2 linked regions of the Daphnia pulex genome follow. The protein of the gene in region 1 purifies or fractionates together with the protein of each later gene. This does not show direct contact. Links are inferred from orthologs where the notes say so. Each region holds a gene or a part of one and is shown on either strand. Other genes may lie near its edges.

Region 1 (3,292 bases):
ATGAACGCGGGATACTGGAATCCACGGGTGAAGAGTACGAAAACGTGAAAAGAATTTTCAAGTCTAAGTCTCATGGAAACGAGATAAAACTGACGGGAGAAGAGAGGAAATTTTGCCTCAGGCGATAGATCCATGCCCCAAGAAGACTGTTGACCCTCAGCAGCTGAAAGCAAGCTTTCCTTTTTCTCTCCCGCAACTAACGTTCAAGCTAACATTTTCCCACGCAACTGATAACTTAGAAATCGATAACATCGCAAATCATCCAACCCAGTTTATTAAAGCGGATATGAAAACAAAACCTTTTTTTTTGTACGAAACTATTTGTCCTTTGCATCAGCGAAAAGGAGACGTTTTATACACGATCTGAAACAAAGAAACAATCAGGGGAAGATAAGGGAAGCTGCTTTTGCTTTGTTGCCTAATGACATAATAGATGTGGGAATGAGGGGAAAAAGGTGCCTGACCTGCTGAATAAATTCTTTTGCACACTGAACTCTTGAACCCATTATAAAGAAATTAACTTGAGCTACATTAAACACAACTAGGGTTATTGCGGGAAACCCATCTGAGGTAGTAGTAAACACAATGTTACAGTATAATCATTTGATAATTGAAAAAATAAGAAAATTTAGATATGTTTCCTGTACACTAGTAAGAAAATCTCTATTCTGCTTTACATTCAATCACTTAAGTGGTTGGTTATAATGGTATAATGCACTTTAGCTTTTCCCCTGGCTTTACGCCCAATATAAAATTGGGTACATAGTAAAACATCTTAAGCGTGATAAAAACAGATTTTTAAGATATACAATTTCTTGATAACAAATAAACCTAAAGGCAATTACCAGACAGTTGATGAAGTCCTGCTAAATGGATGTCCATGAAGGAAAAAGGAACAAAGCTGTCAAAAATGTCCCTCAACCTTAGATTCCTCCCAATACTCCGAATTAGACCTTCTCCGATCAAGTCTTCACAGTTTAAACGTGTTGTACACAAACTATTTGTAGTTTTGCTTTATCTGTGCAAATAAACTTTAAAAATGTCAGTTTTCACTGCGTAGAGCTAGAAACCAACTTCTTCGCGTCACAATACGCCTAGCGCCATGTTTTCTCTGAACGTGGCAACATGGAATACGAAGAGGGAGAGAACTTTTTGATTCTTTTCCAAATCGAACTTTGGACCGGTAAAACTTTATTTTAAAAACTGATATAAATTTTTCAAAGTATCAAATTTCAATAAATATTTTTTTGTGATAGGTTCTGAAAAATTATTGGACTGTCAACGAAACTTTAATCCGCAACTTAACAAATGGCAACACTAACAAATAGCAGACGAATTAAAACAAAAATAAAAATGTAGAAAAGCTCGAGTTCCTTTACTTCCGTAATCTTTACATTGTAACTTAGACAACTTGGTTTTTATTTATGTTTTCCGATGTCATCGAAAACGAAGAAGCGGTTTGACAGGCTGATCAGTTGCGTTAAATCCAATAATGTTGAACAACTGAAACATTACGCAAGAAGAAGGAAGTATGCTAAACTCCACCTGGACGAGATAGGTGTCAACAAAAAAGGAGAAACATTGTTACATCTGGCGTGTCGACAAGGAAAACATGAGATTGTTGCGTTCTTGTTGGAAAATTCTCTTGGAGACCCAACTTCAATGGATTGCAAGGGCAACACACCACTTCACCTGGCATTGAAAGCTATCATGAAAATTGACGGGAGAAATGAATATTTAACTGGTAAGTTATTTTTCGAAATCTATAGTAAATAAAGAAACTAGTACATTCAAATATTTTAGCTTACAGGAAAATGATACTTGCTCATCTTAAAGAAATGGCTGTTTCATTAACACAACCTAATCTGGAAGGCCAAACTGCCAAAGATCTTTTGGATCTTGCTGATTCTGTCTATGAGTATCATTTAGGAGGAAATGAAAAAAAGACAGAGTTTTCTCAACAGAAAGATGAAAAAGAATGGCAGAAGAAACTTTCAGCAGAACTAGATGATGAATATGGAAGTCACTGGGGAAAATATGAAGAAGATTTTGTTCAAGAGGATGTAAATGAAACAGAATCTTATGACTCCTGGGCCAAAAGAATGATTGATGAGCATAAGAAAAAAATGTCATATCAAAAGTTTCATATTACACCACCATCCCCACCAAAATTGAAGCCATCCTGGTCTACGGAAGATCAACAGCAATTCTTGCGGGATGAAGAAATGCGGAATGAATTTCGAAAAAAGGCTAAAGCTACTCAAAAGCTTACTACATTCCTTACCAAACTTAGTTTGTTGATTCAAACTGAAGATCAAATTGAAATATCAGACCTCCCATTTAAGCCCACAGATGATGTTGAATCGATTGGACAACTTATATTGGCGCACGTCAAGGATTTGGTAGATCCTGACGCCAAGAGGAAGGCATTGCGCGAGCTGCAGCGACTTTGGCATCCAGATAAATTTTCTCAGAAATTTGGCGTGCGTTTAAAAGAAGAAATACGTGAAAATGTTATGAAAAAAGTTACTGAAATTTCTCAATATTTGAATGCATTTAACTGCGTTTCTACAGTCACTAACAAGTGAAAGTGACAAAATTCTTGTGCTGTGTAAATAAAAAAAAACATTAAATATTTTCCAGAAAGTAATATTTTAAAAACCATCAAATTCAATTTTTATTTTAACAAGCGTTCGAAGCACAGTAGATTAGATAAACCGGAATTCGGAGCCTTCGTTGAAAACCTGTTTCTTGTTTTTAGATTTTAATAGAAAGAAAAAACGAAATTTTCTTGAAAAACCCCGCAAGACAGTTTCCGAAGGTTTCAGCAACTTACCAAGTAACGCTTTGCTTAAACCGTGCAACGTTGTACGATTCCCCTATATTGTTCACCTAATCAATTCTTAATCATTTTTTTTTTCAATGATTAATGAAAAGGAAAACTAATGAATACGTGATATGAGACTTAAATCGAAAATTTAAACAATTATATGTACGGGTTATCTTGGAAAAGTAATGCGTTTATTATACCCACGGGAATAATTGATCGCAAAAAGTAGATATGGATTCTCAATATAACAGATGGAGCGATTAGTCGTCTGTTAATTGGCTGAGTAGAAGTTATAATTTCCTGTTCATTCTTGTGAGGTTTTGATTGTTTTGATTTCGCCTTTGTTCGATCAAACTCCTTGTTTCCTTTGTTTACTTCTGTTTTGATGTTTTTTTGAAAATCATAAAAAACAGCAAAATGAGAACAGGATTTTATAAGATTGATTTAAATAAAACAGAATGG
Region 2 (3,624 bases), on another chromosome or scaffold:
TAAGGAAAAAACCCAAGAGCTGATGCTCTGCTCACTCTTTTATCGTTTAGCAGTATTTCTTCGTGCAATTCTACCCAACGTTTATTTCAAACTTATGGCGCGTCGAGCGGCCAAGAGCAAAAAAAGTCGTTAATTTCTAGTAGAGAATCTCTAATACATTCTGATATAATAAGGATGTATTGTTCAGTTTGTACATTTGGGAAGTTTTCTTTATAACAAGACTACTTGAAGGCAATAAAGTACAGCTTCCAAAGGGTAATGCTAGCTGCTGTAACACAGATGGTGCAATGAAGAGTCTTCCGTTTGTTATCATCTCTTCTTACGAGAACTATGGGACTGGAAGTGGTCAACCTATTAACTGGTAATTTGGCCAGTCTTTTTGTATCCATTTCAACCTGAAGCAAAACCGATATCTGCTATGACCTTTGCCAACTTAGTCAAGTGTATGTATTCTACCTGGTATTTACAGCAAGGATCAAATTGCCAAGATGCTGTGTACAGTCCTGTACACAGCAAGGAAAGGAGACCTAATGGAGTGTATATGTATGGACGATTATCACAGAAAAATCCTAAACAGGAAATTTAACAAAATTAGACTTATATAATGCAACAACTGAATACTAGCAACAATTTACCTGTTATGACCGAACCAAGTCCAGCAAGTACTGCTGTCTTGTGAAGACAATTTCCAACGGCGATCCATCGCGCCGTTTCATCGCCTAGTCGAACTGGCTCAATGACAATTACTGGAACAGCAGCTTCCAGAGCTCGTTCTAGTTCTAGCTCAAATCTTTCCTGGGCGTTTTCACCGTCATAGATTTCTCTTACGACCGCTATTTCCGCCGAATGTGGCCCGCTAAAATTTGAAACAGCATCATAATATTATTGTGACGACCGGAAGCTTATAATATTTTTAAACAGTCATGCAAGGGATTACCTGCTCTTTCTCCTGTCTGCCATTTCTTTTGCCACTTGGCCAGTGTTTTCAAGTGGTTGCTATACGTACTGACGGCCTTGTAGAGTTTCGGCAACAGCCCAAAAACAATCATTGCCGAAACATTTTTTCGTTGCCGTCGGCTGTCGTACAACTAGTTTAACATTTTAATAATAAAAAATTAAATAATCTTTGATTTAATCTTTAAAAAATTCACATAACTTGTTCCAATTAAAAAACTATAACTTTACATTCATAAAAATAAAAACGAGAATCTATTTAATACAGGCAACGTTGTGCAAGTGGCATTAAGCGTCTGTTTTTAACGCTCCTCCCCTTTATCAACTCGTATGTTTTTCAATAAAACTTTCTGAAAATGTGAGTAAATCGAGTTAAATCCTCAGCATCATTTAATAATTTAGTAAATTTTTACGATGAATCTAAATTAACAATATTTTAAATTTGTGTAAATCACTTAGGCCGGACAAAGAAACTGGCGATCGAAAAGACCGGAAAGCCGGCGAAGATTCCAGTAAATCAAAAGATGCTAGCAAAGACAAAAAGGATACCAAAGATTCTGGGAAGAAAAAAGGCAGAGCTTCAAGCAGTGATAGTTCTTCAAGCAGAAGGTAGTGTTAAACTTTGTTGTGTTTAATGAAACCTTCAGCTTAATGTGACATTTCAGTTCTAGATCGTCCAGCAGCAGCAGTAGCAGCAGCTCTAGTTCACGATCATCCAGCAGTTCTTCTTCAGACTCTAGATCATCATCTAGTTCATCTAGCTCTTCTGATTCATCAGGTTCCTCACGTTCCAGCGGTTCATTAAAGAAGCACCAGAAAAAGAGGTAATTATTCTAGTTGGATGACGGTAAACAAGTTTCTTGTGATAACAGCATTTTTGTTGACGTACAGAGCCCCAGCGAGTGATAAGCCAAAAGTTGATAGCAAACCTGATGAAGAGAAAACAAAACTGGATGGAGAAAAGAATGTTGACAAAGACAGAAACAAAGAAAACAAACGATCCCGCTCTACATCTCCCCGGAGGCGTCGTCGCGATCGTTCACCTACACCCAAGCCACTTCGAATCCACATCGGCCGACTGACGCGCAATGTCAACAAGGAACACATTAACGAAATTTTCTCCGTTTACGGAACCATCAAAGCTGTCGAGTTTCCCAACGAACGTGCTGGGTTAAGTCACCTCCACCGGGGCTTTGCTTACATCGAGTTCAGTACTGCCGACGAAGCAGAAAATGCAATGAAGCATATGGACGGAGGTAAAGTAACGTTTGTTGGTTACTGCTATAAATACGTTTTTAATCTCAAATAATCTCTAGGCCAAATTGATGGACAAGAAATCACAGCCGCCCCTGTGCTGATCCCTAAAAACCGTCCACCACCACCTCGACGGAATTCACCACCCAGAAATCGACCGGGCCGTTGGGGCATGGGTGGTGGTCGATCTCCACCAAGGTAATATACTACTAAAGTAAATCTTTATTCCGGTTATTTGCATCTGTTGTGTTCATTTCTACAGATTCCGAAGACGTTCTCCCCTACGTCGACGATCTCCTCCACGAAGGGACAGAGATAGGAGACCACCTCCACCTGCCCGTTCCAGGTCTCGTTCACCCAATCGCCGTTCAGGTGGCAACAATCGCCGTTACAGTCGCAGTTCATCATCTTCTTCGCGTTAAATAAGACAATCATGATTTATTTAACGTTGAAGAACGTCCACTCTTTTTTTTTTATCAACTCAACTTTGTGCTCGTGATTCAGATTTTGCTTTCGCCCGAGCTGTTGCTGATGAGTCAATAGCGTAAATGCCACACGTATTCCGTAAATTTTCCCTTTTTCGATGGAATCCTGCAAGACGATACAATATCACCTGACAATGGCATTTGTCCTTCAGTTGTTTCTACTACATTTCTTTTTCATTTGAAATGAAAAGTCTTATTATTATTTTATCTATCAATTTAAAAAGTTACCCAACCGCAAGTTTATGTTGCCATCTGACGTTTTCCAGTAATCCGAGTAGTAATGCTTTCTTTTTAAAGTCAATGGCTGCTGGAGGAGAAACCGGATAAGCCTTAAAAAAAAACTAGTTGGATCTGTTTGTTGGAAACTCAATAGAAGTGTGTGTAGCGGGACATGACAAGTCAGAACACTTTCATTCCGGTTTACAAGTGACATGTGAAAGGCGGGAGATACGGTTTCGCCTCGGTGTTATAAACACAAAGAAAGGAACAGCAAATTTTTATCAGGGGGAGGGTAGAAATTTCTCACAACCGGAATGTAGCTGTTTCTAACTGCTTTTTTCCTCCTATGAAAAAGTCGATTTGGTAAATTGTGTTGTCTTCCTACATCCGGCAACGGCGCGCCCAACAGTTGGAACAAATTTGTTTGCACAGCTGTACTCAATTACGGAAGTCTGTTTGGTTCTTATTATCCTCTTAGCAGTCAGCGAATCGCATTGGAAATGTTTTTGAGAATATTTTGTTTGTTTTTTTTTTCTTCGACCACAATCTCTTCCACGGCTGAATCAACTTGCACCTCGATCCCCAACCGGTTAAATCGTAGACATGAGCATCACGATAATTGTAATTTAATGGACTTTCAAGGCGGGATAAGTAACGCGGCTGAAATTATTTCGCCTAAGGTCAAAACTTGTTTAAGAGTTAAAAGAGTTTA

The links.
Region 2: the proteins of NF-kappa-B inhibitor-like protein 1 (region 1) and RNA-binding protein with serine-rich domain 1-B-like purify together in Homo sapiens (co-immunoprecipitation; 3 studies listed by BioGRID and IntAct, with this or other methods). This does not show direct contact. The link is inferred for Daphnia pulex from reciprocal best matches to the Homo sapiens genes NFKBIL1 and RNPS1.

Annotation. Positions count from the first base shown.
Region 1 is NC_060018.1:4,544,090-4,547,381, reverse strand, and holds NF-kappa-B inhibitor-like protein 1, read left to right. Parts: upstream 1-1,317; 5' UTR 1,318-1,434; coding exon 1,435-1,744; intron 1,745-1,803; coding exon 1,804-2,588; 3' UTR 2,589-2,650; downstream 2,651-3,292. Other genes in the region: aryl hydrocarbon receptor nuclear translocator homolog, read right to left, coding at 1-134; mitogen-activated protein kinase p38b-like, read left to right, coding at 3,248-3,292. UniProt on the Homo sapiens protein: Involved in the regulation of innate immune response. Acts as negative regulator of Toll-like receptor and interferon-regulatory factor (IRF) signaling pathways.
Region 2 is NC_060025.1:2,684,416-2,688,039, reverse strand, and holds RNA-binding protein with serine-rich domain 1-B-like, read left to right. Parts: upstream 1-1,228; 5' UTR 1,229-1,310; coding exon 1,311-1,312; intron 1,313-1,413; coding exon 1,414-1,563; intron 1,564-1,619; coding exon 1,620-1,778; intron 1,779-1,845; coding exon 1,846-2,210; intron 2,211-2,270; coding exon 2,271-2,406; intron 2,407-2,470; coding exon 2,471-2,630; 3' UTR 2,631-2,844; downstream 2,845-3,624. Other genes in the region: dehydrogenase/reductase SDR family protein 7-like, read left to right, coding at 1-133; transmembrane protein 11, mitochondrial-like, read right to left, coding at 222-395, 457-569, 636-856, 938-960. UniProt on the Homo sapiens protein: Part of pre- and post-splicing multiprotein mRNP complexes. Auxiliary component of the splicing-dependent multiprotein exon junction complex (EJC) deposited at splice junction on mRNAs.